4 linked regions of the Lepisosteus oculatus genome follow. Each later gene encodes a partner of the first gene's protein in a complex. Links are inferred from orthologs where the notes say so. Each region holds a gene or a part of one and is shown in the gene's direction. Other genes may lie near its edges. The genes, in order: tubgcp5, mzt1, tubgcp3 and tubgcp2.

What was found.
Region 2: the proteins of tubgcp5 (region 1) and mzt1 are in contact, whole or in part, in a crystal structure (PDB 6L81), measured with the Homo sapiens proteins. The link is inferred for Lepisosteus oculatus from reciprocal best matches to the Homo sapiens genes TUBGCP5 and MZT1. Residues at the interface, in NP_443135.3 of Homo sapiens: Gln14, Gln15, Asp18, Val19, Glu21, Leu22, Val23, Val26, Ala27, Gly28, Asn36, Ala40, Phe43, Ala44, Asn47, Phe48, Arg52, Phe53, Leu54, Phe72, Lys80, Ser83, Trp84, Leu87, Thr88, Glu90, Phe91, Ala106, Ser109, Ile110; in NP_001065243.1 of Homo sapiens: Glu23, Val27, Leu28, Glu30, Ile31, Ser32, Ile34, Leu35, Asn36, Thr37, Leu39, Leu44, Ile46, Cys47, Val48, Arg49, Leu50, Cys51, Glu52, Gln53, Ile55, Asn56, Pro57, Glu58, Ala59, Leu60, Ser61, Ser62, Val63, Ile64.
Region 3: tubgcp5 (region 1) and tubgcp3 share a complex: the UniProt entries of both Homo sapiens proteins name them as parts of the gamma-tubulin ring complex. The link is inferred for Lepisosteus oculatus from reciprocal best matches to the Homo sapiens genes TUBGCP5 and TUBGCP3.
Region 4: tubgcp5 (region 1) and tubgcp2 share a complex: the UniProt entries of both Homo sapiens proteins name them as parts of the gamma-tubulin ring complex. The link is inferred for Lepisosteus oculatus from reciprocal best matches to the Homo sapiens genes TUBGCP5 and TUBGCP2.

The regions. Positions count from the first base shown.
Region 1 is NC_090710.1:22,064,486-22,072,461, forward strand, and holds the start of tubgcp5 (gamma-tubulin complex component 5), read left to right. Parts: upstream 1-4,971; 5' UTR 4,972-5,475; coding exon 5,476-5,609; intron 5,610-5,824; coding exon 5,825-5,878; intron 5,879-5,986; coding exon 5,987-6,095; intron 6,096-6,479; coding exon 6,480-6,576; intron 6,577-7,753; coding exon 7,754-7,833; intron 7,834-7,976. Other genes in the region: chst7 (carbohydrate sulfotransferase 7), read right to left, coding at 346-1,599. UniProt on the Homo sapiens protein: Component of the gamma-tubulin ring complex (gTuRC) which mediates microtubule nucleation.
Region 2 is NC_090710.1:33,537,658-33,545,470, reverse strand, and holds the start of mzt1 (mitotic-spindle organizing protein 1), read left to right. Parts: upstream 1-4,797; 5' UTR 4,798-4,957; coding exon 4,958-5,048; intron 5,049-6,255; coding exon 6,256-6,401; intron 6,402-7,647; coding exon 7,648-7,671; 3' UTR 7,672-7,813. UniProt on the Homo sapiens protein: Required for the recruitment and the assembly of the gamma-tubulin ring complex (gTuRC) at the centrosome.
Region 3 is NC_090710.1:26,101,162-26,109,041, forward strand, and holds the start of tubgcp3 (gamma-tubulin complex component 3), read left to right. Parts: upstream 1-4,875; 5' UTR 4,876-5,021; coding exon 5,022-5,097; intron 5,098-6,818; coding exon 6,819-6,926; intron 6,927-7,357; coding exon 7,358-7,425; intron 7,426-7,880. Other genes in the region: atp11a (phospholipid-transporting ATPase IH), read right to left, coding at 1,817-1,855. UniProt on the Homo sapiens protein: Component of the gamma-tubulin ring complex (gTuRC) which mediates microtubule nucleation.
Region 4 is NC_090699.1:17,551,312-17,558,443, forward strand, and holds the start of tubgcp2 (gamma-tubulin complex component 2), read left to right. Parts: upstream 1-4,132; 5' UTR 4,133-4,282; intron 4,283-4,892; 5' UTR 4,893-4,901; coding exon 4,902-5,051; intron 5,052-6,036; coding exon 6,037-6,165; intron 6,166-6,261; coding exon 6,262-6,435; intron 6,436-6,853; coding exon 6,854-7,010; intron 7,011-7,132. Other genes in the region: znf511 (zinc finger protein 511), read right to left, coding at 574-775, 1,471-1,544, 3,496-3,705. UniProt on the Homo sapiens protein: Component of the gamma-tubulin ring complex (gTuRC) which mediates microtubule nucleation.

The DNA.
Region 1 (7,976 bases):
GAACCAGAAATATTTAGCATTTCTTTTTGCTGTAATAAAATCATTGGATTGTGTTCCTACTCAGTTCAAACAGATTATTATTTTGGATGAGTAGTTGAGAGATTTTTTATTCTTTAAATTGTGATTTACAATTCTTAATTCTTGCAAATAACTTCTGAATTTATAACTTACAATTAAGCCGATACTATTAAATGAATATTAGATCAAATTACAGTTAAAGACAGGGCAGCTATCACTGGTAACACAATAGCAACGTCTGGATGTTCTAACACAATGTATTCATTGTGTATTTATTGGCGAAACGACATATTAATACTGTACCTTTGTTCACATTTTCGTTCGCCTCTATGTTTTGTCCACGTTTGTTTTCTGATACCCCAGCTTACGCATGACCTCGCCGCAATATTTCTCGACTTGAGCGACCTGTTCAACGCTTAACCTCTCTCTCCAAGCGTAAATGGCTTCCTTGGCATCCCTTGACGAAATAAGAAAGGGCCTGTCCGAAGAGTAACCCTCGCCATGGGTCATGTTTATCACGAACTTTTCAATGGCTGGCGAAGAGGTCAGATTGGAGAAACTGTACAGCCTCTTCAGTTCCCGCACTGGGTGTAACACAAGGTCCTCGTAGCGCAGGTGAAGGTAGTTCCTTCTTACCCATTGGGGTGCGTTCATGATGTGCAATATGTCGTTGAGCCAGTTATCGCATATCACCTCCATAGCGGTAGATACATAATTCTCCACTCGCGTGGACCTGTTGGGTATGAGAAGGCGCCTGTATTTTTCCGTCTGTTTCCTGCTTCTCAGCACTTGAATGCTTTCTTTCACCAGTGCCTGTTTAGATTTCAATCTGGAATTGTGGACCGCCCGGGGGTCTCTGAACAGCTGAATCACCTGGAGGTTCAGCCCGGGGTCCCTAATCAAAGGAACCAGGACACCAAGATCCAGGACCCGCACGTCTTTTATGACAACAACGGGATACTTCTTGCACTCTCTCTCTAATTCCCTGATGTCTTTAGGTTGGCACTTGCCGCAGACCTCTCCGTTTATCAGCCCAACGTCGTCTCTCCTGTGAGCACTGCACAGAGGCTCGGAGCAGATCACCTTGTTCGTCTTCCATCCGAAGATAAATGAGGTAGTGAGGTTTTTGTTGCCCGTGTAGAGTTTTAAAACGGAGAAATCGCAGCGGTAGAGGGAGTTCATCATGTCCCTCACCGCTCCTTGGAGACTCCCTGCATCACCCGGGTACAGGGTCTGCCACATATTCCACATGGGTTCATACAAATAAAACACATCAGGATGCTGGTTAAATAACTCCCCTAAAAAAGATGAGCCTGTTCTCCAAGTTGCATGAAGATAAATGTGTGTTTTCGTTTGGCTCCTATTGATAAAATTTTCCACCGTCTCAGATTCGTTGCTGGATTTATCTCCAATATTCCATAACTCCATTGTGGTTTCCAAATCGGGGCATTTTGATAGTGGCAGTTCATTCCGGACCTGAGCTCTTCTATTTCTGTATTCCAACACATAAGGAATGAACAGGAGCAATACGGAGTACACTATAATTAATATGAGATATTTCTTCTGTAGCCTCCTCTTCATTTCCTCAGCGACCGAAGCGCTTAGCGCACTCCTACTGATTTAGCACCCCTACATGAAGCCTGACTCCGGCTTTAGACAAACTTTGAGTTAGAAAAAAAACCGGTATTGTCAATCGCCTCTGAACACGCCCACTGCATTTCAAAATAAGAGCCGATAGTCACGTGTGTCCCCTTTTCGCAAACTATCCATTTTCATTAGAATGGAACTGTATTTTTCCACAAATGTACAAAACGACATAAAAAGAAACTGTCACGGGGAAAATAGCATGTTTTCAGCTACGGGCAGACTTTTGAAATACATGCAATTAAGAAATGTCCGTTTTGAGTTACTTGCCAATAAAAGTCGATGTATTACTAAATCGAGTTAAAACTAAAAAAAATGTTAAAACTATGGAAATCGCTTGAATGAATAAAGTTTGCAGCTGTGTACTTTTCCCTCAAAATTGTTATTGTAATTTACTGCCATCAAGCATTTTGTGACAAATGAAAAGGTTGTGTTTCTGTGTAAGCTACAGAGCTGCACTTATAAAGACATCTATTTCTGAGTGTTGGGTACAATATGCAGGAAACTACGCAAGATTTATAGACTTATTTCTCTTCTTTGTGCAGCATGGCGCTGTAATAAGGTTAACCTGGCATTTTCTTACAGCTGCATCGAAGTGTTTGGGAGCATGGACAACCATCGACAGGACTGTTCACTGAACTTCCAACCTCGGCCAAGTTTCAGTGGTGTAAGCGAAACTTAAATTCCAAAATCCATTTCACATTTGACCAAAGCCCCGTTTAAACAATAGAGTAAGACGTAAACAGCTTAAAACACTGTAAAATCTATTTAGTGTGCAGCCATGCCAATTTATGTGACAAAACCTTGATAAAGCACACAGCTGTCAGAAAAACTGCTCCGAATTCATTCAGATATATCACTTACTCTGGCACAACATTTTAATTACCCTACTGGAGATGTAGCAGATGCACTGTTCTTGGAGAAAAATGCTGTCTTCCTCTGCAAATATACATTTGGACACCCCAACAGATTAGCACCTTGTCAACTAACAAACATTTTTCCACATATTTAATCCAATTAAATGAGAGATTTGTAGGCTCGTGTATTTTCTTTAAGTATTCTAAACTAGCTGTATATATGGTACAATATTCCCCCTTGACCTTGTGTGCTTACAAAAACGTTTGATCTTTTAATACAGAATTACCAGAGTTACATTAAACGGGACTTTAAAAAAAAACAATTTTTAGTTTTAATAAGAAACATGTATCTGAAGCACTGAACTCAAAATGTTCTTGTTGAATGCGCATATTGTACATATCTTCAAATTCGCATTGTCTTCATCTTGTTGCCTTTGTACTATAGTAAATTAGCAATAGCAATAAACAGTGAAGTTACTGATGCTGTTTGTTCTACTTTCTAAACATGACCTTTTCTCACAGAATATTACATGTACTGTAGATAAAGAGCACAAGGGGTAGATATGGAAGCTCAATTTTCTAACTGGCTAAGGTATGCCTAAAACCAGAATTTCAACCCACATATCATTGGAAATAGATAAATATGTCCTGTTTTCGTAGTTTCCTGTTCTACCAGGGTATCTACACAAAGGAATGCCACCATCACATGCTTCATTTGGAGATGATTTTGGAGTTTCAATTCACTTTCATATGAAGGAATTTTATTTTTCTATGCTGAAGTCTTGAAGGTGCCATATAATGTGTTTGCAAAACAATAGTTACTTAGTTTTTTTAAACGCTTAAAATGTATAATGACAAAATACAGAAGTAAACAACAAGAGATTGTAGGCATTGCTATAAAAATCAGAAAATAGTCATATACTGTCGATATCACGTGTAATCACATTATATATTTTATCTCAAAAATGCAACGTGCTTCGTGTTATATCTCCGATTTGGAAACATCATCTTTTATAAGATAAGATAACTTTATTGGCCATATACAATTTCTTGTATTAGGAATTTGTCTTTTCACATACCCCAGCTTGCGCTCCGTGAGACACACAGACAGAGAGAGAAGCTTGAGGTCAGAGCACAGGGTCATCCATTTATATGGCGCCCCTGGAGCAGTTGGGGTGAAAGGCCTTGCTCACGAGCCCAACGGAGTAGGATTTCTCTACCGGCCGCGGGATACGAACCGGCAACCTTCCAGCCACAGGCACAGATCCTTGCAGATGGCCCAGATTAAACCCAGACGTCACTTCAGAGTGTCATTTGTATGGAAATAGGATTTTAGGGAGTAGTCTGTGTAGCTTTTCAATAGACAGGCCTTACTTGACTAATGTGTTAGGTTTATGTGTAAAAACAACAGGAACATACAGAGCATATGAGACAGTATATTTACATTTTCAGGAAGCCTTTACTCACAAAATTGCTTTTGGTAGGCATTCAGGGTAATGTGTATGATTAGAGTGAAAATTGTTTAATGAATAGAAAACTAAGAATAAAGATAAGAGCTGAATACTCCAACTGAGGAATGTAATTAGCCTGTGGTGATCTATTTAAGGATCTGTCGTCTTTCTAATTTATATCAACAACCTAGATTCTGGTGAAGTTCTAGTTATTTAGCTAGTCAGGTTTGCAAAACCAAATTAGAACAAGCCGCAAACCCTGTAAAAGTAAAGAAAAGTCTGGACTGGGCTCACACTAGGAAGATGATATCTAATATAGACAAGTGCAGAGAGATACATGCAATGAAAAGAACCATAAACTGTACATGTGAGATGGGGAGCAACCTGCAGAAGCTGTGAAAAAGCCTTAGGTGTCTCTGCTAACACATGCTTTATGTTTTCTAGACAAGGAAATGATAAAAAAAAACAAAGAGACGTTTAGATTACTTAGTTAAAAGTGTAAGATTTAAATTGAGGGATGTTATATTAAAATTGGAAAATGCACTGAATGTAAGATCATAATTTAGAAGACTGTATAAAGTTTTGGTAACTCTGTTACAAAAGAGATATTTATGTTTTGGAACCAGCTCTGAAAAGAGCCACCAGATTCCTTTTTCAGGCTTAAAGAAATGGCCGTGGCTGACAGGCTAAAGGATCTGCGTCTTGTCATTCCAGAGAAGACTAGAATTCTATTTTCTGGAAGTCTTAAAAATGATCATGAAGCAGAATACAAATACAAAATGAAGAAAAAAAAACACTTTAAAATTTGGAAATAACAGAAAAGGGCGTAAAATACACAATATGGCTAAAGAATATACATAACATGTCCTTATTTGGTAAGAATCAAAATTACACTTAAGATTTTGCTTTATGTTTCTCAGGTCTCTGCTTGTAAAGAAGTCGACGTCTACACGTGCTGTTTCTAGTCTTCGCTTTTCCAGGGAAAGTAACTGCTCGGCCAACAGAAACACAGAGGAGGGAGGTTCGGTTGGTAGGAGCCGCTGTACACAGCAGTGATGGCGGAGTCAAAACAATTCTGTATTCAACAGAGAAGTAGCCTTTGTATGATACATAATTAAAAATAAACAGTTAAATAAGAACAAATCGTTTATAGCCGATATCGGGATATTTAACTGTTGCATGCTTTTAAGCGAAGGATGCTGTACATCTAAGCTACGCAAAGCAAAAACAAGCGATTTCTGATAGTGTGATTGAACACAGTTCGTACTCGTATTTATTGTAAGCAATAATTTCGAGTTGGATGTATCGTCTCATGTAGTTTATGGTTTTAAGCTGTATTGGTTGTGCTCAACTCAAAGCCTATCCCTTCTGCATACTTTGACCACACATACGAGAGAGTCCGGATGATCGTGCCTAACGTTTACAGTAGAGTAGTATATATAGTCTGTATAGTATAGTCTATAACTATAGAAACTGGCACCGGAGGTCCCTTACTTAGCATCACAATGGCTCACTGGACGAAATTTGAAAAAGATTTGGAAATCGATACGAAGAGGCTAATAAAGCTCATCAGTGGGATACAGGATGAAGAAGACCAGAATTTCCAGATGGCATTAAAGTTTGCCTGGACCAATTTCAGGTGAGGGTTTCATGAGTGATCCCAAGGCTCGGGCCTGAATTCACATGGCAGAGGAATGTATTTGCTGCAGTCTTCATTCTCAAAGGCTGGCTTTGTCACTGACAGTACGTTTGTGAGAGGGACTAAAAGATCCGTCTTCACATTGAGTTGTAGTTCTTTTGCCATATATGAACCAAGACACTGACAAAAGCATTGTTATGTGTTTAAATTTGCAGGTTCCATCGATACTTAGATGTCAACAGTCACAAGGTGCAGCGTACAATCAGTGGGTAAGTTCAGTCGATCAAGCAGATTAAATATTCTTCTTTCTGAGGAGATTCTGAAGATCAAGACAAAGCGCCTACAAGAATGTGACACTTTTTTCCTTTTTGTTTCAGAATCCATGAAAAGCTAATAATTCACTCAGATCTGAGCAAAGCTACAAGCTGGAAACGACTGACTGAAGAATTTCTGAATGCACATCTTCCAAACACAGAAGGAACAAAAGTGATAGATTGTTATACATCTTGTGAACTAAACAGCTTGTTTCTAAGATTTAAGATTTAAGATGTGATAAGATTTATTGTCCATTGAGGGAATTTGTTTGTGGACATCAACAACAACAAAATTGAGCATCACTCTATTGCACATTTATAACACATAATAACATATAACATATATAACATTACAAAACATGTTGCACACAAGTGGATTGTAACGATAAAACAATGTTTATCCTTGCCATTTGCATTGACAGCTTTAATGGAAAGTGGAACAAAGGAATGTTTGTATCTGTTTGACTTACATTTGAGAACCCTAAAACGTTGTTGAAATGCGCTAAACTAAAAACAAGAAAATTAAAAAAGCATTTTTTCTCTTTTTTTTTTGCAGACAGAAACCCATCACAGTATCCTAGCTCTCCTACTCTATCTTTCTGATTCTCCTTCCAACACAGATTACACTGAGAGGCCACGGCTGAAGGATGCTGGTAAGTTAATGGACATTAACATAGCCACAATGAGTAACTGGTGTTCACACAACACAAACTTTGTGTTTTGTGGCCTTTTTATTATCTCTGTATTTTCCGTAATAATATATCTTAATACCCAGTATACTACTGGAATAAAGATGAAGCATCAGCACACAATTAACTCTATAAAACATGATAGGTGTTATTCATCTGGCAGAATGTTGCAATAATTGAGTCGTCAGTTTAATTCTGTGCCAAATGTTAATCTAACACCTGTGAATATGGTGCTTTCTATGATAGTCTTAGTTGCTGTATCTTAGATTTGGCATTTTGACTATCCTAATACACACCTTTGAGAGACAAATTCCCATGAGCCATTACAATGAAGAAGTGTGCACAAATAATACAGTACATTTATCATCTGCATGTCACTAATTGATTTCCCCAAAGCATGCTGTCTCATTCTGACTCAGCATATTACCTAGACTTTTTGGAGTTGTTTGTTTGTCTGGGGGAACTATGAGCACTAACAATAACAGAGGCTCTTCTGAGATGCACAGCAAAGTAAACAACGGTAACATTTACATAATAAGAACACCTCCTGTAAGATTCATTGTTCTGACAATGAAGGTTTTGTTTTAAACAGCAGTACCAAAAGCGCAACTAATTCCAAAAATCTTTGAATAATTTGGAGCTCCTGATTCCAATATTCAGGATTTAAATGTTTGTTTGAAATGCATGCCAGTTTTGAATTTTTAAAAACTTTGGATGGAGATAGTACCCATCTCCAGGCAGCAGTGTGGAGTAGTGATTATGGTTATGGACTCCTTACTGCAATGTTTTGGGTTGAAAGGTCAGCTGCTTTTGTGCGCTTGAGCATGGAATTTCAGATCACTTCAGTGAAATCCCCAGCCGTACAAATGTAAGTTACTTTGGACATAGCGTGTGTTAAAAAATACGTTAATCTCTGGGATACATTTCATGAACTCTCCTGTGGCTTCATATTACCATTTACAGAGTGAGCATTCTCCTGAAGAAATAAAATCTTCTGAATCTTTAATCTGCACTCCCAGTTGTTTGAAATAAACCTTAAGATCTGTCAAATGTCAGAGCTGCTATTTCATTTTCACATTTTCTGTTTCATATTGCTTTCTGATTTTTGATAAAACATTCGAATTTATTTTATTTTTTCAAGAAAAAGAAGACAATTTTGACTGGGGTAAATATTTGATGGAAGGAGAAGATATTGACATGGGCCCTTTTCCAGACACTCCTGTAAGTGAAAGGATACTAGTTTTCTTAAATCCTTACTGCCTTATTCAATAGCTGGCTTGCACTATTCATTACTGAAAATACTTTCTTGCAGAACTTATAGGAATGTTTCTCAAACCGATCAAGCTTCAGCTAATGTCAAAAGT
Region 2 (7,813 bases), about 11 Mb from region 1:
AAGGAGGCCATATGACCCTATCTAGCCTGTATGGTGGCTAGTACCTAATTGATCAGCTTCAACAACAAGGCTAGTAGTTGATTCCAAACCCCCACAACCTTTTGTGAAAAGCAGCACCTCCCAATTACAGTTTTAACAGTACTTCCGGATAGTCTCTGCAGTTCAAGTCTGAAATGCTTGACAAGCAACTATCAAGCCAACACTGCAGAGAAGAAAGAATATGTTATGACATTCAACTCATCACCATATTACTCAACAAGGACCTAGAGGTACCTTGCCAGGTACCTTGCACACAGAGCTCAAATGCTAATCCATGTGCTGTGTTAACAGATAAGGACAGTGTGTAGAAGGCAGCCTCAGCTTCTTAACCACTTCTTGCCTCTCTGTGGCAAAGATCTGCACAGACATAACAGCTTCCACTGGAATGAGACTGGCACCAGTCACAAGGACTCAAAAGAGATTTGGAAAAATTAAAACTGAAGGAAAGAAGTCAAATAAAATAAAAGATAAGGGGCAAAGTAAAAGTAAAACCAAAAGGAAAATGAAACAAATGACAAGGTAATTACATTCCTATACCTAAATAAATGATTAAGAAAAAATTAGATGGAAACTACAGTACCATATTAGCAGGCAATTATGATATAACTGGAAACAGAGAAACATAGCTAACAAGAACAACTGAGATGAATGTAACAATAGATTTTGCAATTTCCCTTACGGGATTAATTAAACCGATGCACAGGCAGTGCGGTGGCTCTGTGGCTAAGGATTTGCGCCTGTGGCTATCAAGTATCTATCTAGACACACATTGTTCCAGTGAGACAGGAAAGAGAAGAGACAGACCTGCAGTTCTATATATCAAAAAGTGCCTTCAGGATCAGGAGCTATAGAGTCTCAGAATCTAGGCTATATAGAGTTGAGGCTACTTGGTCATACTTGTAAAAAACATTCTAGGGTTATAAAGTACTGTTAGGAGTATGCTACAGAGCAGCAATTGAAGATGTTAATTAAAATTAAACGCTGTATAATAAAATGATGAATATATGTGCAAAAGAAGTGGACTTCAACATTGCCCACCAGCCATATAGCGTAGATTTCCAGTGCCGGTCTGGGAGGAACACTGTCCCTTCTGATTTTTGCTCTGACCAAGTTCTTCATGCAATTGGCATCAATGTCGTGTCAATTCCAGTTTCAGAACTGGCCTCATGGGTGTTGACTGAAATGTACCCAATGGAACAAACAAAGCAAAAAAGCACTGAGGTGGGAGAGGATAGTACAGGGGCATTCCCACCCATGCCTGTTCATCATCAACTACTAAGAGCTCTACAAACTGAAATAAAGGCAAGCAAGTTTAGAAGAGATTGCATAAGGTACTGTGTGCTGATGTTGTTGGAAGCAGACCCTTGAAGTGGAGAATTTTGGACACTCAGAAATGACTGATGAAAGTTACAAAGAAGTCTCAACAACCAAGCAGGTGAACAAAGGCATCAGATAGCCCTGGGGGAGCAGACTGCAGCATTCCTCCACAGCCAAATAACCAACAACAACTGACGTGTAGGATTCTCAGCAGCACAAACCAAAATGGTGCATGTAGTTAACAGCTCTTTTCATACTCAATATATCTACACACCTACAAGAGGAAATGCTTTCATTTCCCTTGGCTTTTCAGACATAAAACCAAGACAAAGAGGAAGGACAATTTAGGACCTGTGATCATAACATGGTATGATTTTGAAATAGACTTTGAGATTATCCAGACTGAGTCAATATCAGAAGTTAATTTATAGCAATGAAAGAAAATGGGATAGAATAAATATTGAATAGGGAACGTTGGTCTACACCACTTCAAAACCAACTCTGCTTGAAGCACAGAATAGATTTCACTCAAGAGTGAATAAGTCAGAAGATAAAACTTAGTATACAGATGTTGAAGTAGGTGGCTGCATCAGCATGTGTAGGCTGCAAAGAATTGCAAGCGGAGGTTAGAAATGAAACTAGAAAGGTCAAGAGATAGAAAGGAATAGTGCAATAGAGGCTAGAATAATCAAAGTTTCTTTCCATACTACAACAGCAAAATACGTTAAGAATGGAAAAAATTGTATCCACAACAATAAGGGGTAATTTCTAAGCAAAGAAAAGAAATGGCCAATGTACTAAATGAGTGTTTCTCTCAGGTGTTCACCATGGGGGGAAAAGTCAACAACATACCTGGGGCAGCAGAAGGACAAAGGATCATTCTTAAAAAGGATTAACATCAAGTTTGAAGTACTAGAAGCACTCAAGATTAATAGATCTCCAGGGGATAATTATACCCTACCAACTATACTTAAGGAAACAGGAGATGTCATTCATAGGTTATTGATACAACTGCTCCAACAGTCACTCAAGACACGGGTAGTCTTAGTGACTGACCAATTGATGGGAGATTTGCACAATTTAGTGCCTATCCATATGAGTGACAAAACAGAACCAAATAATTACAGACCAATAGACCTGACTTCTATTACATTTAAAGTTATGAAAACTATCTGGAAATAGGATCCTAACATTACAGCAGTAATAGACAGAGTATGCAATTTGGGATATTTACATTTTCAGACGGAATTTGATAAAGGTCCTCATTAAAATTCATTAGCAAATCACAAGCAGAATGTATTCTAGATAATGTATGTATGAGTGGAGAACTAGTTAACAGAAAGAGTAGGGATCAACAGGGTTTAAAGCAGTTGTATCAATAACCTATGAATGACATCTCCTGTTTCCTTAAGTATAGTTGGTAGGGTATACTTATCCCCTGGAGATCTATGCCAGCAGCCATATCACCCTGCAACTCACAACTGGCAACCCACTGAAGCTAAGCAGGTGTGAGCCTGGTCAGTACCTGGGTAAGAGACCTCCTGGGAAAAACTAAGGTTGCTGCTGGAAGAGGTGTTAGTGGGGCCAGCAGGGTCCATGTGGGTCCTAATGCCCCAGTATAGTGATGGGGGCACTATACTGTAAACAGGCGCCATCCTTCGGATGAGATGTAAAACCGAGGTCCTGACTCTCTGTGGTCATTAAAAATCCCAGGACGTTTCTCGAAAAGAGTAGGGGTGTAACCCTGGTGTCCTGGCCAAATTTCCCATTGGCCCTTACCAATCATGGCCTCCTAATAATCCCCATCTATGAATTGGCTTCATTACTCTGCTCTCCTCCCCACTGATAGCTGATGTGGGGAGAGTTCTGGCGCACTATGGCTGCCAACGCATCATCCAGGTGGGGCTGCACACTGGTGGTGGTGGAGGGGATCCCCATTACCTGTAAAGCGCTTTGAGTGGAGTGTCCAGAAAAGCGCTATATAAGTGTAAGCAATTATTATTATTATTAATGCCAAGGGACCCCTTAAAATTCAAGACCTATATTTAATGACAAAGGACAAACACTACATGCAGCACAAAAAAATCACCATGAGAAACGTTGAACTTAAAGAGGCTCCTCGAGAAAAAAAACTATTTAAAAAGGGAAAATGTTGGTTTCTTAAAAACGTAGAATGCAAATTGTTACTACTGTACTAGTAAAACTTTATTTGCTGTATAATATTGTGTACGGTTTTGGCTAGCACGGGATATTGCCACTATAAAAATCAATCCAAACAATAGCAGCAGGCAGATACGTTCAATGGTTTAAAAAAACGTCCTACACGGACAGTCGGAAGGAAATTATTCTTTCTAGTGGAAAAGACCACAGTGACCGAAGTATTCACAATCCTTACAGGCATTAACAAAGACACCCCAGCAGACGTCTTTAGAATAAACAGTGAAACACAAGACAACAAGACGATACAATGGTTTCCTTTAAGAAACGGTTGGATATGATCCTTGGATACATTTACTACTAAACTACCAAAGGGCTAGAGAGAATGAACATTATTCAGCTGGTACTGTATCTTTATTCAAGGAGACAGTGACCAAACACAAATTAACATCTAACAAGAGGACACAAATTTAACTATCATTTCAACATAATATCCAACGACAAAGCAATAGACTTGGATATAGCAAATCAAAGTGCAATCCTGAATTCAATAGAATAGAATAATACAACATGAAACTGACTGAAAGTGATCTGTTACAATATTTTAAAACAGTTCTTAATACTCCTTTGGTGAGGGTGTCACAGTGTTGTTTTATTAGCTAACTTAACTATGAATGACTAACAATATTCCCTGTGTACTATCGAAACTGAGATAAACTAAGACGGTTCATTTTCATTCCATTAAACTCCACTCCAAAATTGCCGAGATCAGCAATAAAAGTTACTAAAACTAAACATTACATAACATGTCAAGTACAAAGTTAATTAATCAACGCCTAGTGCTGTTTAGGCGATGGATATAACAATCCTACATCTTTAAGAAACTGCAGACACAATCGACTTAAGACGAAAGAAACAACTGTACTAGGAAAGTAAAATTTAACCTACAAGCAGCGAGCCATAGTTGGTTAGCAACATTAGTTTTCAGAAAGTCTGAGATTTATCATAAACTTTCCCAATCATTTAAATAAACTTGATATCAAAATACAATAAAATATATATAACTTACGTATCTATGCCTGAAATGCAATTCTTATTTTTCACACAGTTCTCGGTAAATCGTTCACTTTAATTTTCCTTCTTCTGTCTCTCCCCACCAATTGTAACCTCAGGTGCTGTCTCTCCACCAATAAACGACACCCGGAAGCACAGATGGCCACTCAAAATAAGACTTCTCTAAGAATTTGAATGAAAGCCCCACCCTTCATACGCAACTTCCCTTCAAAATGACCTAACTTTATTACATACAAAAGTGACACTAATGGTATTAATACAAATTTCTGAACGAAATTGTTTTATAAGAACAACTAATATAGATTGTATAGAACAGAAAATTACAAGGATTTAATTGTGTTTGATTTTTTTCCTACATGAACTCAAGTTCATGTTTACCGGGTCGCAATTTAAAATGAGCCAGAGCACTGTAAACATGGCAAGCGCTGCTAATCTGAACGCTGTGCGGGAAACGATGGACGGTGAGAAACACTGCGTTTTATTGTGATTTTCGTGGAACGTGATCGGACGTTCATTTTTGTTTATGAAACTGATTCGGTGTTACCGTTGTTTATCCGATTGAACACGTCGTTGATATTAATAATAAAATCCGCGCCAGTGTTCCCGCTGCGGCCGACTGCTCCTCTTGGGCTATTGACGTTTTGTCGTTGTTGTTATTCGATTTTAATGTCCTGTATTTTAAAAAAGTAATCCCATTGGGAACTTGAACGGAATGTATAGGTTAGTAACGCTTAAATAATTTTATTTCTGTTATATACAAAGTTTGACTAAATCCTGGTTTTATGTGCAGTATAACTTATTGTGTAGGTGTACTCAGAGGGATTTGTACACTATATGGGAAAAGTATTAGGTAAAATCATTTACATAAAGTAAGTTAAATTGAAATGAAGAATACGACTAGTGCAAGTTGGAAGTGCAATGCAAGGCACATGAATAGTCATATTGAAGATAGTGGTGTGGATACCACACAGGAAGAAAGGTAGCCTAGTAGCGTGTAGTCCATTCCCACAGTTAATAAGGACAATAAGCAAAGATCAGATCACCTACCTGACAGTCAAGCACAAATGAAGATTGGAATTAAGAGCTGAAAGATCACAATTTAAAGCTTGAGAGCAGAAGCCTTGATTAAAGCTATACTGTATAAATTAAAGTGCAGTAGCTCAGTGGTAAGATACTTAAAGTTGTGTTTGTCCATGTTGTTCATGCCTTTTTTCTTTTTTCGAGAAACTAATAGATACATTACTAGATGAAACCTAACCTGGCCTCAAACTGAACAAAATACTTGTTTTGTATTATGTGTTTGTTATATCCTGTTCAACAAGAAAAAGTGAGTCCATTGGAGTCTTATTTAGTGATTTTTGTTGAGCGTCAGCTTGTGTAGGCTGCAAAGGAACAAGTAAAGGCTTATCCCAGCTGAAAAGAAATACAAAGTTTCAGCTGTGGAGCCTTCTTCAGGTGTTCTTCATACCCGAGAAGGCTCCACAACAGAAACTCTGTATTTCTTTTCTTCTTTTTTCAGCATGGATTTAAAAATGGACATTGTAATCTTTCTTTTTGTTTTAAACACACAAACCTAAAGAATCAAAGGAGCAATAAGTACAATAGCATAGCAGAACTTGCTGATGGAAATAATGTTGCACAGCCTAACTAACACAAGTTTATTCTTAGTTCTTCTAGAGATATCAAGGCTTCTTAATACAGGCTTGGACATGGAATCTCTTTCTATCTGTGTTCGCCTATGTGAACAAGGAATCAATCCTGAGGCACTCTCTTCAGTTATAAAAGAGCTCCGTAAAGCTTCTGATGCACTAAAGGTACAAGCCAATATTTTTCTTTCTAGGTTCAAAGAACATGGTTTGTTGGGTTTTTTTTTGCTTCAGGATATGGAATCCTTCTTATGAAAATGGTATCGGTCACAGTTGGAATACTTGAACAAGATAAGCTTTCTGCACATTGCAGAAATATTATCTGAAAGTAGATGTAACTTCTTTTAAGATGTACACCTTTTCTGTTGTCTTTACCTTCTGTTACTGTAATCAGGAGCTTAATTATTTAGTTTTTTTCTGTGGCTGAAAGTGACTGTATGCTGAAGTTAAGACTCGAGACTTCCAACAGTTATAGATTAGTAAGTTAAATTAGTAAAGGAATTTCAGTCTCTAGTACTATGTAAATATGCTTTGTCTCAAGGCATATTTGAGGAGTTCTGATGTTCCTGAATAACTCCTGTGTTAGCAGAGTGATTTGATCACCCCCTTGGAACTGAGTTCAGATTCTAACTTCAAAAAGTTTTCATGTTGAGAATAAAGTAACTTGACAGTATTGGAGCAGCCCAGTGAACCCTGGGATTCACTGGTACTTGGCCTCATCTGTATTAACTATCAGCCATAGCATAGTTCTCTTCTGATGTGGATAGACCGTATTTGTACACTTCCACTGCTCTGCAGCTTTACTTACTGCTATCATAGCAAGTTAAAACACAAAATCCCTTAGACCTTCTTACCATTAATTATTTTAGACCTTATGATATTTGTTCTATTCCTGTAATCAATTATAAAGAACACAAATTTATGGTAATGTATTTTGTTTGAGACAAATTAATTCTTGAGGTAAACAGCTTTTGTGCTAGAGGTCAAGGTTGGGTGATTTAAATATTTAACTCAACTCACTGATTTAATTCAATTCAATGACTGTAGCCTATTTTAAATCAGATTTAAATACTGTTTAATTTTAACATGGTGATGTGAAGTGGCAGTTCAGAAGAAAACTTGACTGTAATTAGAGTCATAAATACATGAACGCACAATAACAGATGTTTGTTTTTGTGTATTGGGCTTTCCAAATACCAAGAAAATGCTTTCAATTCTTTTTTTATTGTCATAACATGCAAAACAAATCCAAAGTTTTCTGTAGAGATACTTGTGTAAAACGCCATTTTCCAAAATTATTTTAAATAAAAAGTTTCCAGACCTGTGTGTATAATGTGATAAGATGGACCTCAGAAGTTTTTGTTGTGGCTTTACTAATGTTTAATGTTTTCTATTTTTTACATTCTTTCCACAGACTTCTGAAAACAGCACAAGCTAAGAAAGACCAAGATGCTCTTGTTTGAACAAACGTTTTCGACAAGATGGAACCACAGAGCTGGGGAAGATATGTCTTCATAAAGAATTCTTTGTTCACATATAAAAGGGTTACAGTTTTGTAGAACAAAGTTCTACATTCTTTA
Region 3 (7,880 bases), about 4.0 Mb from region 1:
AAAATCTAGGGGGAACTACTTTTTTATTCTTTTGTTTACAATATTCCTAAACGGAGCACAGTAACAGGTTTCAAAAGAAACACAAATTAGAAACTTAACGCAGCCGCTTTCTACACTGCAACGGATTAAGATATAAATAACACCTACACTGATCCAATCATTTGGCCATTTTAATTTTGACCTTAAAACCTCATTTCCAGTTTTCGCCTATGTAGCAGCAGCATAAATGGCTTAAAAGCAAAACGTCTATAATGCTTTAAAACGGTCAAGGACACTCTTTTCATATCGATCAAAGAATAAAGAGGATGAATTATGTAATGCTGGAGGATTATATTATTTTTTTAAACATTATAAAAGCATTTATATCAATTATAGCATTGTCATAAGCTTGTTGTTAGTGGGTGCTTGGTTTACAGGATTTAACGGTTTGTTCTGCATATCAAAATTGCATAAATCATAATTCCGTTTTTAATTAAGATGTCTTTGCTATAATCCAGCATGTACATGTCTTCTAGAAAGTCACATTTATTTTCCCTTTCAATTATATTATATTACTGTTAGTACGATACATAGTTTTCAGAAACAGTCAGTATTGTGGGATCTCTTTTGACGCAACTTGCCAACTTGATAAGATAATTAAACGTCTGATCTGAAGTTAAAGGAATAATGTTCTTGCAAACTCTCGCAGGTGAAATAAGTCTTGCTTTGATTTTGCCACGAGGACCGCACCAGAAACTACATCACAAAGTTAAAGTTTAAAGTTGTCTAAAACTTGAGGAATGTGGCATTGCGCACAGCGGAAGAATTGCGGACTTCAAATCCCCACCGGTATCCGTGCCTTCCAGTGCTTTGACATTTTGATAGAAATAAAGGCGAACAGTACTGTGCATTTTCTTGGCAAGATTTATTTGAATAAAACGACAGGTTCCTTATTTTGGTTTGTTTTGGTTTTCCAACATATTATTTATCATATCACAACTCGTTCCCTTGTATAATTAGCTTATTAAAGAAGCCAATGCAGGCCGTATAATTCAGCAACGGTTCGTGGCTCAGTCTCTTATTGCGTATACATATAATTGCATGTGCAGCGAAGAAATTAATAACTACGTTTTCTTCGTCAGCCAACGTGTTTATCGTCACTGGTGAGGTACAGCCATATCGCAGCAGGTAACTCACAACCCGCACTGTAAGCGGGTTAAATTCTTGACAGGGTGTCCAAAACTAAGTCTTGATAAAGGCGTAGGGGAGGGTACGTGACACCCCAGGTAGGATGTACACATAGACACAGTGTTATCGATCTGCCCTTTAAATTAGCAGCCGGAAAGCTGAAAAGTGACAACTATCTGAGTTAAGTGATCCGGTCTGCCTGGGGTTTCTCAGGTAGCTAAGCTTCACACAAAATCATTCTGCAAAGCAGGTGGTTCATATCGTATATCCCTCAGCATTCGGGTTTCCTGTGCTACTCTAATTTTGACAAAGTGACAAATATTACCGCTGCTGCCCGATTTATCCGGGGGGGGCGCCGGATTAAATCCCGGCAGACTTCTCCATTCCGCTATAACAAGTGGCAGCACACCTCAACGCACGCACACCTACTCCACCAACGCCATGCTGCACTGAAAATGCCCCCTGCCTTCCCCTCCTGCTCCGTGAACGGGTCAGAGTGGCATCTTCACCATTTCCCGTAAACCTGAACGAGATACGTCTGCATCCCCCCGCGGGGACGGCGAGTTAACACGCGAGCCGAACCAACAAGTTACAATAAAACGAGCGACTTGATGTCACGGCAGCAACACGTCGGTGCGCTTTTACTTACGTATCTATTTATGAGGCTCCGGAGAACGCTGCAATCCATTCCTCCCGACAGCTTCCAATTGTTCTTTTGGATATTCACTCCCCTTGCCGTCAAACGCCGAAACCGCTAGCTAATTTTCCTTCCTCTCCTAAGATCCATGCCGCGACTGCCGGACACCTGACTCTACAGTAGGTAAGTGTGGACTGACAGCAGCGTCCGACGACCGCAGTTCTGCTCCTTCTCACCTACGGATCCCGAGCACGTTAGTCAGCAGCAGCAAGAAGCGTGTTCGTAGTTTTCGGGGCTCCTTCATTTGCACATAATGTCTTTGTACTGCGACAAGAATTCAAACCGCAGTTTATTTTTTGCTTGGTTTTTTGTTCCCCCTTGACGATGTCTCTCTTTTCTGTTAGTCCCGTGGTCCCGCTTTCCCTCCTTGACGATCTGCCTTCCCTTCTCTTTTTTTTCCTCCTCCTCCTCCTTCTGTTTTATTTCTTCCCTTCTTTCTCACCTTCGCCGTACCTATAATCCTGCCTCGCTCCAGCTCTGGTGAGCTTTTCTTTCAGCGGACGTCACGGGGGGCGTGGGCGCTTGCGCACTCCGTTGTCACACCCACTCGTGTCGGAGCAAAGCGGTGTGCACCAGCATTGATTGAAAAAAGCTCACGCGTAGCTCCATCGGCCGGTGGGTGCTTAGTTAGTTGCCGGTAGTATAAAGATTTTCACATAGATTTTTTTTTCTTACAGCACAGTGATATCATTCAGTGGTTATTGAATTTCAGCGAGGTTTTAGGTAAAAGCGGACTAGACGCAAAGATATCACAGTAAACACGTCTTTTCATCTTTTGGCTTCATACAGCTTCCAAGAATCAAGCGTTATGTCCATAAAGTGTGGTCAGTGCTAGATGAAAAAAAAACATATTCAAAGTTTTAATACATACATTCTACTCCCAGTAAACATGATAAATGAACATGTAGGAGCAGTAGTAGTAGTAGCGATTAATTCCAATCCGCCAAAGTCTGTTTTATAGAGACTTTTATAAAGTTTTATAAAGTTGCAGCAACTTTGAATTTTGTATGAGACCTAAAGCAGAGTGAATGGGACACTTAGTAAAGTATTATGCAAAAATGCACAGTTTATTAAATTAAATATATTTGTGGTGATCCATTCATGTTTTGAGCGTTTTCAGTATTGCATTCCTGTAATTGTAATAGTATAAAGTGACTCAAATATATTTCAGCTGCACAAAAAAGCACTTCAAAACAAGTACCCCTGTTTTTAATAAATATGCTGTAGTTGTTACCATTATGTTGAACAATTTATTGTTAAGTGTTCAGAAGAGAATACTCATCAATCAGCTGTGCAATGATTCATTCATACACGTACAGTACCAAGTGCATGTCCTGGACACAAACAAAATATCCTACAACTTGAAGTTAGTGCATTCTTGTCTGGAAAAGATCTGCCCCGAAACCAAAATAATCACAAAGAAAGCAAAATCCAGGGTTTTGTTAATACCAAAGCTGACACCATCTGAGGTTTTTGAAGAGGTGCACGAAAATGCAATAAATCCAAGAAAGATGTAAAATTATACTAATCGACAGCACCAGGTTGTATCAGTAAAGTCTGCATAGTGTTCTTGCTCATGTAAGACAACAGAAGGGTTTGAATATGGCTTGGGGGGTGGGGTATGTATAGGATATGTAATCAAATTCAGCGATTGTTAACCACTTAGAAATAACTCAAGAGCCGCATCCAAACCATATCGGTTACCAACTCATCTTCCACACTTTGTTGCTAAACGCAAACAAGGGCATGGACATACGTCTTTGGCATTCTAAACTGAGATGTGTATCTAACACCATGTGACAATGAGGCAGCCGAATCAAACGTAAGAGTGTAAAAATAAATACTTAATCAGGCTGAAGCTCGTCCATGGATCAAACTTATAACATATCCTTAATGGAGGACCACTTGCTGAACAGTGTAATCATCAATACATCAATACCTTTTTCCTGATTATTATTAGTTATTAATGGACCTTGTCTCCTGTTAAAATTAACGCAGCAAAGGAAACAATTGTCAGCAGAGATAACGTTATTTTTTTTAAAGACTACTTTATATTCCCTATTTATCCTTTACATGCTGGAGTAACTCTTAAAACGTCTTCAAGAGTTTTCATTTATTCTGCGCCCTGTGGAAAGCAACCGAAGCTAGCAAGAGAACAAAAGTATTATATCGTTGTTATTGGGATTAATTCGTTTTTTGTAATAAATTTTGACTTGATTGCTTACTTGCCTGACAGCTAGCATACGATTTTCTTTTAAAAAAATGGAAATCATTGAATTTTGTTACATTGCTGTTTTTTCATCTTTTATTACAAATATTCCACAAACACTAGTCATTCGTAATAAAATATTAACAACTGAATGCATAAATAACACTTTCAATGTACTTTGTATGTTTATATTTTGGATTCTACGTTCTGTTCCTTATTAATACATACAACTAATATTGAAATCAAATAATCAAAATAATATTGATTTATATTTATCACACAAGTACAATGAGTAATATACAAGAACAGGTCGTTAACACGTCAATTCTAATTCAGAATATTGATAATATGCAGATTATATATTAAATTTGATGATATTACTATTTTAATTGCAAACAGCAAAAACACTAGTGGAAATAAAGAAGATAAATGCAGTTTATGGGATCTATTGTATTTCAGACCTTTTTGCCAGATTAGGAATATAACCAGTTTTCATCAGGTGCGACACGTTTGTGAACAAAATGTTCTTAAAGACCATATAAACGCTTTTCATCTACAATCTTCACCTTTCGAAACTCCCCCAAACGATATTTGACGTGTCGAAGAAAAGAACGATCGTGCAAGGCAAGTGCAGTCGTGAAAATTGAATTATCTTCGTTTTCTTAAGTGATAAACCCCAACGCACGCCTAAAACAGAAAAGGTAGGAACTGATGTCATGCTAGGAACCACTCTTGCGTTTCTCGTTCTTCGGAGGGCAGTATTTTTGTTCGATTCTCCCTTGCCTTTCGGAGGATTATGGGACACCTCCATAGATAACACAGTGAAGAGCGCTGTCGGCGGGTTTAGCGAAAATGGCGCCGTTGCTAAGAGCGGAAAGCCACGGCAAAAATAACGGCTGCAGGTAGATTTGGACAGCGACCCGGAGCCGTGTCAGACAGATCCCTGATATGGCAGGCTTGGATCAAAAATCGCCCAACGTCTTGCTACAAAGTCTCTGTTGCAGGATAACTGGGAAGAGCGAAGGTAACAGCGGCAAGGGGAATATTTTAAGTAACGTGCTTGTTCCATCATAGTTCAACATCATACTGCATGAGCACAGAGAATGAGTCAGTAGATGTTTTTACAGTAAGCATATTGGCAGAAAACAAATCAATAAGGCGACGCCTAAATGATCGTCTTTCCACGTTGGAAGCAGGAGTTTTTTTTGACGGAGTAGTGAATAAAGCGCCTTTCCTCGCTAACAGTCCCCTCTTTCTCTGACTGTTGAAATCTGCAGAACAGGCCAGTGTTCATCTCTTGAGCAGATGTCTGGTATCGTTAGACACATTTTATTTGATAAAAACAACTATAATAATTACGCGGTTTTAATTCACGATGGCCGGCAGCAGGCGAGTTTTTTTATCTTGCTAGTTGGGGGAAGACTCATTTACCATTTCTATTTGTAGTGAATGTACTGGCTGGAGAATTGGCCCTGATGAAATTATGACATGATTGGTAGGTCGATAAAGATGGAAGAAAGTAGGGATATATTTCTTTGGCAAAGAAGCAAAAAAAGTCCTTTGTCCTTGAGCTGCTATTGTAATGTGATGAAGAAGTGCTTTTATTTGAAAGACTCCAGTTCACAAGCGTATAGTTTTGTAATCTCCTGTGCCAGTGTGCTATTTATCTTATATACTGCCTTTAATAGCGCTTTATAACCGATATCGGATATTATGAGCTGCATCTTAATTGGCACAATATGATCCCAGAATTTTTGTCAGATGCAAAACTAAAAGTATGAGCACGGACCTTAATAGGTTGGTAAATCCTACTGTTTGTGAGCTTTTAGGGAGTTTGTGATCTGGAAATTGGCCGAGGTCAAGGGGGGAAGTTCATGGCTTCAAGCGTTCTCATTCCCTACCCAGCCTCTCAGTGGGGAATCTTAGTGGTTTATCTGGACTCCCTGCAACTGAAGGTGAACAGATGGGGGTGAAGACAGTTCACGTTTAAATAACACAGGAATGATTTTTTTGTATTTATCTCTAGTCTTAAAAAGCAACTGATTCTTGTATACCAAAATCCAGAATGTGCCTGAAGCTGTAACTGTGAAGAGTCGTTTCTAACTGAAATTGCAGGACCCTTTATTCATGTACTTTTTAATACATTGTAACTTCAGGTGTTTTAGGGAAGAATGAATAGACTGCATTTAGAACAGTCTCACTGGCTGCCAAAGAAGGTATTATTCCTCATGAAGGCCTTTGCTGCTTTTTGATTCTTTGTATTCTTGGCAGACTGTTGTTAAGGAAGTTCTTCAGCTGTAACACCAAGGTCTTTATTCATGTGGTGAAAGAGGAATATGGTGCATTGTGATTTACATTGGCCTAAATCTGAGACATTTGGTTGCTTGTTGTTCTCATTCTTCTCTGGTCCCCTTTGTCTGTAGGGCTCAGTGACATTCTCCATTTTTAGTGTCTTTATACTTACATGATGGCATCACAGCAGAGACCCACTTGTTCATGATTCAGATTTGCTGGGAGTCACAGTCTTGTTGTCACAAAGCACACACAATTTGGTTCCTTCTTATGGCAGGATGTTGAGGTTGAAAGCTGAGTTTAAGAGCTTAAGAATTTTCTTTTCTTTAAGGCCTGAAAATCTCTGTGACATTATCCACCTGTGTGATATCTCAGTTTGCTGTGGTGGCCTGTAATCTCGGGATCTGTTGGATTGTAGTTATTGTCATTAAAATTATCTTCTGCTTTTTTCAGCCGATGTCGCCCACCAGTTCCAGTATGCTGTGCGAGTCATTGGAAGTAATTATGCTCCTACAATTGAACGGGATGAGTTTCTTGTAGGTGAAAAGATCAAGAAGGAACGTGAGTTTGTTTAAAATAAAACCTTTTGATGTTGCATGTTTTTTCAGAAGTGTTAATTAATATTGCAGTATTAATATTAAGCCCTTAATAGTATGCTGTATGTAATTTTTTAGTTTTTTTAGTTCGTGCATCTAGTTATAAGTTCTGAAAACTTGATTTCTGTATGTGTCAGAAACAGTATCCCTTAAGATTTCCATTTATACGGTTCCATAAAACCTCAGTTTATATTGTGATCATCTATATCTTAATTAAACAACACTTCTCTGGGCTGAAAGGTTTTTATTGTTTTCTTAATGGCAAATGTTTATCTCTGGGAAGAAAAAACAATTACATTTGGGAGATTACGCCATATTCATGTCACATAGTGTCATTTTAATATTTAATGTGATTGTGGTGTTTATCATGATTTAACAGGCACTTTATTTCTGCAGTTGTGAAGCAAAGAAGAGAAGCAGATGCAGCACTTTTTTCTGAGCTTCACAGGAAACTTCAGTCACAGGTTTGTTTTTTGAGAAACGTATTGAAAACAAAACGATAATACATGAAACGCAGAACAGATAAGGCTACATTACCTTTCAGTTTGAATACTCTCTTCTATTCCAGTATTGGTGGTATTGCTTTTGTAGCAAGGCATTTGAGGCATTAGGTTAATCATGCAAGTGCTTGAAAAATGTTAAATATTTACAGATTTGAAAAGGTAAAACCACTGTATGGACTCTGTAGGTTTGTACAAGATATTGAAATTCTTTGCTGCTGCACAACTCTTAACTTTATTTTGGAATTGAACTGAATGACTGTTTAGTTTTATATGAAGCAGTTGCTTGGTATTATAGTGCCAAGCAGATTTGCAGATGTGTTTTGGTCACATCTGCAAAATGTAGTATATGAAATTGGATCTTTTGCAAAAATGCTATTTCAGCAGAATGCAAAATCCATTACTAAAATATGTAATTG
Region 4 (7,132 bases), on another chromosome or scaffold:
AGAGAATAGGTCACGTTCCGCCCCCCCTACATCAGCAGCACGAACAGCTTGCCGCCACCGCTAGATGGCAGCATTTCAACATCAGCAATACGGAAAAGACGATAACCCTGTGCATCATCATTATTTTCACCTGACCCATCTTTTGGAATTACAGCTCCTTACAAGTTGAAGTCATATCGTCATTTAAAAATATCTTTAGAATGAACTTGATGTATGTCTACACAAAATAAAGTAGGTAGCCGCGTCGGCATGCGTAGGCTGCAAAGGAACAACTAAAAGTTTATTCCGTGCTGTAAACAGAAGAAAAGAAACACGGGTGACACCCGAAGAAAGCTCCACAGCCGAAACGTTGCGTTTCTTTTCTTCTTTTTCCAGCGTGGAATAAACTTTTACTTGTTCCTACACTACACTAGGTCCATTGGAGTCCGTTGAGGGATTGTGCAACGCTAGCGCTATTTAGAGTACCGATATGTTATCCCATCTGTCGCGGAACAAGCGTTTTCTTCGGAAAAGATTATATCTTAGCATATCGGCTCCCCCTCCCGCCCATTGCCAAGATCGCGGGGGACGAACCATGTTCTGCCTCTCCGCCAGGACCTGGAACAGCGCGTCGTGCCACTCCGGGATGTGGATGTCCAGGAGGCGGCCCGAGGGAAAGGAGCGCCTGCAGTGGCCGCAGACGTTCCGGTGCAGCGCGTTGTAGTGATGCTCGTAGCCCTCCAGCGTGTCGAACAGCTCCCTGCAGCCAGCGATGTGGCACTGGAACTCTGAAACCCTGGAGGGGAGACGGTGGGGGTGTCTGTGTGGGTGCGGGGGCACCCAGGCTTTTGAACTTCAAAGGAACGCGAGCGGACTGGCTCCGGTCACAGCTGGGGCGCTTCGGCCCTGTGCCGTAGCGTACACTCCGGTTTGTACCCACGTGTTTCAGGTCTCTCCGTCCAAAGTTTCAAAGCCCTTCGAGACGAGTTTTCCCCATATGAAATCACTTGCCGGGCATGTTTCCAATGAGAGGTTCGAAAAGTGCAACACCTAGTGTTGTCATGATCGCCATTCCTTTCGGAGAGAAGGCTTTACAGAACAAAAACCACCCCGAATCTTCAAGGGAACTGCTTGGTTTTAGAGGGAACAGGTTGCATTTCCTAGAGTGTGTTCTTATGGCTGTTTAACTATTTGCCAGTCTTACACACAGCTGCATTAGCACTGACCTTGTAACTGAAACAAGGTTGTTCACTATTATATTAACTGTAACAATGGCTATTACACTGTACATAGCCAACACTAATCCCTCTTTCGAAATGTAGTGAACACCATACATCCTAGCAAGAGGTAATTGTGCAGTTCTAGCAAAGGAACTAATGTACCGTCCAGGGAGCCAGGATGGCTGTTTGCAAATCGGAGGTCAGACAAGCAGACTAGCCATGCTCCTTCAGAAAGCCACATGCATGGGAAGCGATGACTGTCGATACTTACTTTGGCCTATCAGTTGCCTCCGCTACACTAGTGGCAGCATCTTGCAGGTACAGATGTCTCTGTATATCCCCATCCTGTTAAGAGAAGCACAGCCATTCTGGTTAGTTTTAGAAAGAAATGTCATGTTGGTATAGTCAATGTTCTGCACAGAATAAACTCTCCCCAACAATCTTTCCTATCACCAATACAGAGTGTTCAAAAAGATAGAACTAAAAATGAAGACCTTTTAGGAAACATACAGCACAGGTATTGCACATATACTGAAATCTCAAAGAATGATATTTGTGGAGTAATTTCCAGAGACACAATGCATCACTGATGCGGTTATGGACAGAAATACATGCATACACCAATTTCCACACACACCTGTCTTTTCAAGGCACAGGAGCTAACTGGGCAATGGGCTGCATTAGGATGTACAAATATAAAAAAAATAACCTCTGGAATTTCTCTATGAATGCAAAATACCCTTCACTCGGGAACCATTTCCTCTGAATTGCCACAAGCCCTAGATCTGACACTCAGTAACGAGAATCACCTCCCCCTCCTGGGCTCCTGTCTCCAGATTTCCTTCCAGCTGGACTGAGAGCTGCTTCATTGATCCCTAACTGAACCCAATAATTTGCTTAATTCAATGATCTGCCTTTAGCATTTTCAGCTGCTTCAGTTGTCATAAAACCTCTAGCTGTGTAACAGCTTCACACACCCAACCCTTTGAAATAATCAAGTAGTTAATTGAATTAAGGGCTCGGCGGAGCGCCTGGAGGTCCGGGCCGCTGGACACACCCAGCAGGTGCGAGGTCACGAGGACCACAGCTTTAATCAGTCCCACAGAGCACCACTGTTTAACCCCATTCCTGCACGGTCGCGCCTGCATGTGTCAGAAAACACACCGACCATTGTCTGAGCTGTAAGCAGCTGGATATTTAAAGAAAGGGGCAGGAATGCCCACTGCTGCCCAAGAGCATCAAAGTGTCTGCTGCATGCCTTTCAGATGAGTTCTCAATCTCTTCGTGGAACTAACAATTTCTGTTATTGATTTTCAGGTTTTATACAGATGAGAAGGCAAACACCCTTTGGAAGATGCATCACGTATTTTCATCCTTTAAGGCTTAACGGTGCCAACCACTAAGCCATATAAGGAAAGACACCATGCCTGTCGAAAATGATAGCAATCACGTCCCCTTACAGTATGTCCTATATCATTTTAGGCTTCAAGAATCCAACGGATTCTTAAAACACTTCAAGATGCTTCTTTAACTAATTCTGAAACTCTTGAGTTGTGGTAAATTAAAAATATCGTCCAGTCGAATATAAAAACATCAGCAAGGTTACGGACACAGGTCCCACTCAAGAAGAGTCGACACGCGTGACTCATTCCACACTGGAATTCAATCTCCGTCTTTCTGCAGCGCGTCTCCCTGCTAATGAACTGCACTCCCACAACATTCATCAGATCTCCTGGGCCAGCAGGACTGGAGCACCTTTCAGGCTCCGCACACCTGTGGGAGCATTCCGGTCTGTATACTGAATAACTTCTATTACAACGGCATCATCACAAAGACTCACGGAGACCGGAATACAAAAATAATGAGAAGGCTGGTCTCAGTTTTTGCATGGAAAATTCCTATTGCTTTCTTGGTAGACCGATTTTATTTCCTTCCGATTGTTTTGTTTATTATGAATTAAAAGAATAAAATGTTGATTCTAAAGATGAAAAAAGTATAATAAAAAAACTACACCGCCATATTTTGCATGTTTTGTCTCCAGAGCACATTACATATAGTGACACGGAAATAGGTAGCGAAAGCATGAGTTATGCAAAGGCTTTCGGTGGGAAGCAGTCGGAGCTACAGCAGCACTGGAGCAGCTGCAGAGACTGCAGAGATTGCCGAGGCGTAGAAACCCTGGAGCACAGCCCACCCTACACACACATACAGCAAGCAGTCATGGGAACTGAGCAGCACCAAGTCTCATTAAGTCGCTTAATTCACAGTTCTTACTCAATTCGAAAAAAAAACGTACTTCAAATAATTCGTGGTCCTTGTTTAACCGTATTCGTTGCGGAGTGAAATCAAAAGGCGAGCTGCAGACGTTTTCACCATCGCCACTGACTTGCTGTACCGCACTGGGCTCTTCTGCTATCCGCTGGACTGGCAGGACTGGTATCGCCTGAATGTCGGTGCTGCTGGTGCCTGCTGCTGTTAAAAACCGGATTAATTCGAGCGGCAACATGTCAGTTACAATATCGCAAGCACGCTGCTGTTACGTCATTTGTTGCGCTTCCTCGGCTACACTTCATGACGCAGGCGCGGCCCAGCTCAGGGTGTCTCCGTGGTCCTGCTGCTCCTGGGGTTAGAGGCGATGGAGACGGACACTTCCTATGTAACCGAAAAAACATTTGAGCAATTTTATTGCGTTTGCTCCAAAGGACTAATTTTGACTGAAATCTCAATTTATTTGCGACATCTGGAAGGCAATTGCACTTTTACAGCAACCTTGGAAGAGTGTAAAACGCTTCAGCAGTTTCAGTTATTGCCAAACAAAAACAAACATTAAATGATTACGTTGGGAACACATGCAGAAATACACATTTCATGTGTATCCAAAACCATTTTTACATGAAAAGAGGATCAGCCATTGACTGTGAAAGTCAAATGTTCTTACGGTTTGCTCCTTACAGTCTTGAGGCTGTGGACTGGAGGGTGTCGGGGAGGAACCTCTTTGGTGAGATACTGTTTCCCTGCAGTGGCGGAAGCTTTTACAGGGCGGAGCGAAGTGCAGTGTTTGTGTTTCGCGCTGCTAAGGGGCGGTAAGTCCATTTGGCTGACACATTTATTACTTGTATTTGTATTATAGTATGCTGGTCATTAACCGAAGATAAAGACGAATTATTAATTACTGGTTTATTTGTGTATCCGATGTGCTGGTGTTCTCAGCATCTTTGCTGTTTGTGTGTAACTCACTCTAGATGCTAGCGGTCTAGTTTGTGGTCGAATACAGTATAAACATCGTTGGACCGAGACAACAAATAAGTACACATTTCTTTTAACGATCTAGAGTGTCCTAAAGGTAGGTTACTGACAAAATCTGTTACTAGTGTACATGCATCATCTGTGTATTTGCCCACTGTTGGAGAAATAATTCGCAAGCAGGATGTTTGTACAGTACTGCTGTATCCGTACCCGTTCAGCTCTTGTAACTTTGTATGATTCTCCTCAAAGTAGTGTCTTCTTCCCGTAATTTATGCTCCTGGTACATTTCAAAGTGACAACCACGTCTAGTCTGCATCAAAACTACTGTCAAAAAATCCCTTTATACACCTTTTCCATCTATTAAAAAGCCACCAGACCTTTTATACATTTTTATTTCCTTATTATTGTAAAGCATGGTTATTCGGAAGTCTCCCTCTCCCCTTCTAGAGAGTAGCCATGAGCGAGTTCCGGATTCACCACGACGTGAACGAGCTGCTCAGCTTGCTGCATGTCCGCGGAGGAGATGGAGCCGAGGTGTACATCGACCTGCTGCAGAAGAACAGAACTCCCTACGTCACCACAACAGTGTCCGCGCACAGCGCCAAGGTGGGGATCGGGGGTAATATCGGCCACTGTGGAGCAGACTGCTGTCACATGTTTCGGTTTCTTCACTCTGTCCTACCGACGTTTAAAGTTCTGGATTTAAGACTGGCACCGTTCTCTTGACATGCAAAGGCTTTTTATGTTTTCTAACCCACGTTCCTTCCAATGAAAGGGAGACCAGGTGCAAATCAAGGTGTTTTTCTTACTCGTTTTCTCATTGTCAAGCTTTGTGCTTGTAGTTTATCAGCTGAATCTAACATTTCATCCAGTCATTTCTTGAAGGAGAACAAAGTTTGATCCTCAACCACTTAGCTAGGAAGCCTGCTCCAGAAACCACCATTCTTCATTTAAAGGATGTTTTAATCCTAAACATATTCCCTTTTGGTCCTTGTCTCTTAATTAAAGCTGAACAATATTTGCTGTAGCAAGCATTGTACTGTATGTGCTTTTTCATTGCTTCCCCACAGCCAATAAAGAGAATGCTACATAAACACATCTGTCTCTTCCATATCCATATGTTCTTGCAGGTCACAGTCACCCATAGTATTATGATACTGTATGTGTAGTGTGTGTTCCTCTGTGGATCAGATTGCACTGTTGACATAAACTTCATGTGCAATCACGTGATTCCTTGTCCTTGATTTCATCCGTGTGTCTTTGTAGTTCAGTAGCTGAAGTTCTGTGTGGGGCGCCTCTCCTATGTTTGCGTTTTCTGGAAATCTAATTAGTTTCTGAAATATAGCAGAATCTAAATTAGCTGATATAGGAAAGAGAAACTGGCCTAAAGATAAATAGAAACTTTACTTTACTTTTGTGTTAACTTTTGTCTTTACTGCTTGTTCAGCAAGTTCCAGTAAGTTATCTTCCCTTTCTAAATCCATGTTGGCTATCTCTTCAAAGTACCATTGTTTTGCATCAGTCTTGTTTTTTCTAAAAGAAATATTTAACCAGCCAATTATCGGTTGACTGAGAAAATGTTTCATTGCAGGTAAAAATAGCGGAATTTTCTAAGACACCAGAAGACTTCCTGAAGAAATACGATGAGCTCAAATCCAGGAATGTGCGAAACGTGGATCCTCTGGTCTACCTGCTGTCCAAGCTGACTGAAGATAAGGAGGTGATGGAAGTACCTGCAGATAATAAAAACACTTTGATGTGAGGGACGTGGCTGTAGCAGTCTTACAGTAAATGCGGGTATTTCATTGTTTTTTAGACCCTGCAGTGTCTACAGCAGAATGCCAAGGAAAGATCTGAGCAGTCAGCCAGTGCCTCCTCCAGCAGCACAAACTTCAGCATCCCTGCCACCAGCACAAAGATGTCCATGCAAGAGCTGGAGGAGCTAAGGAAGAAACTTGGGAATGTGGCAGCCAGCTCCAGTGTACAGCAGGTAAGCCCATATCCTCTTTAGGCTCCTCAGTCTCTTCTGTCTTCCTGTGATTAAGAAGTCAGAGACATTACACTGCTGTGTGTATTGAAGAGCCCTGGCAACAGAGAGCCCCAGTCTGTGATTGAAAGAAAGTGTTCACATGGGCTTATTAAACCAAAAGTTGGCTGAAATGTTGCCTCGAATTAGTAGCAGAAGCCATTTAAGCTTCCCAGGAGTATGGTTAGAGACCTTTTGTACAGTCGGGAATAACCTTTGTAGAATAATGTTGTGTCCCATGCTCTAACTTTGCACGGCACAAGCTTTAGCGTTAGGATTTCCTTTTGCATTTTTCTATGTTGATTGCTTTAAGTTTACTGGAGCAAAGTAAATACGTTTAGAAAGGCGGGACTCCACCCTTGTGTGTCCTGACTTCCTGTAGCCCTCCGAGGTGACGAGGAAGATGCTGAGGGACAGACACAATAAGAAGAGTCCCCTGCAGCCAATTCCAGTGTTTCCCAACTGGGTGTACGACAGGCCTGCTCTTCTTGGGGATTTTATCACCGGCTCCAGTGGGACTGACTCAGCAGTGCCTATTGGTAAGTCTTTCTAAGCTGCGATGTGCAATTCTCTGCACATCAGAAAAATGAGACCGAGTTTTAATTTTATCCACGCCGCATTGCTCAACGTTTACTATTACAGCATTACAGCAAGTGGAGTG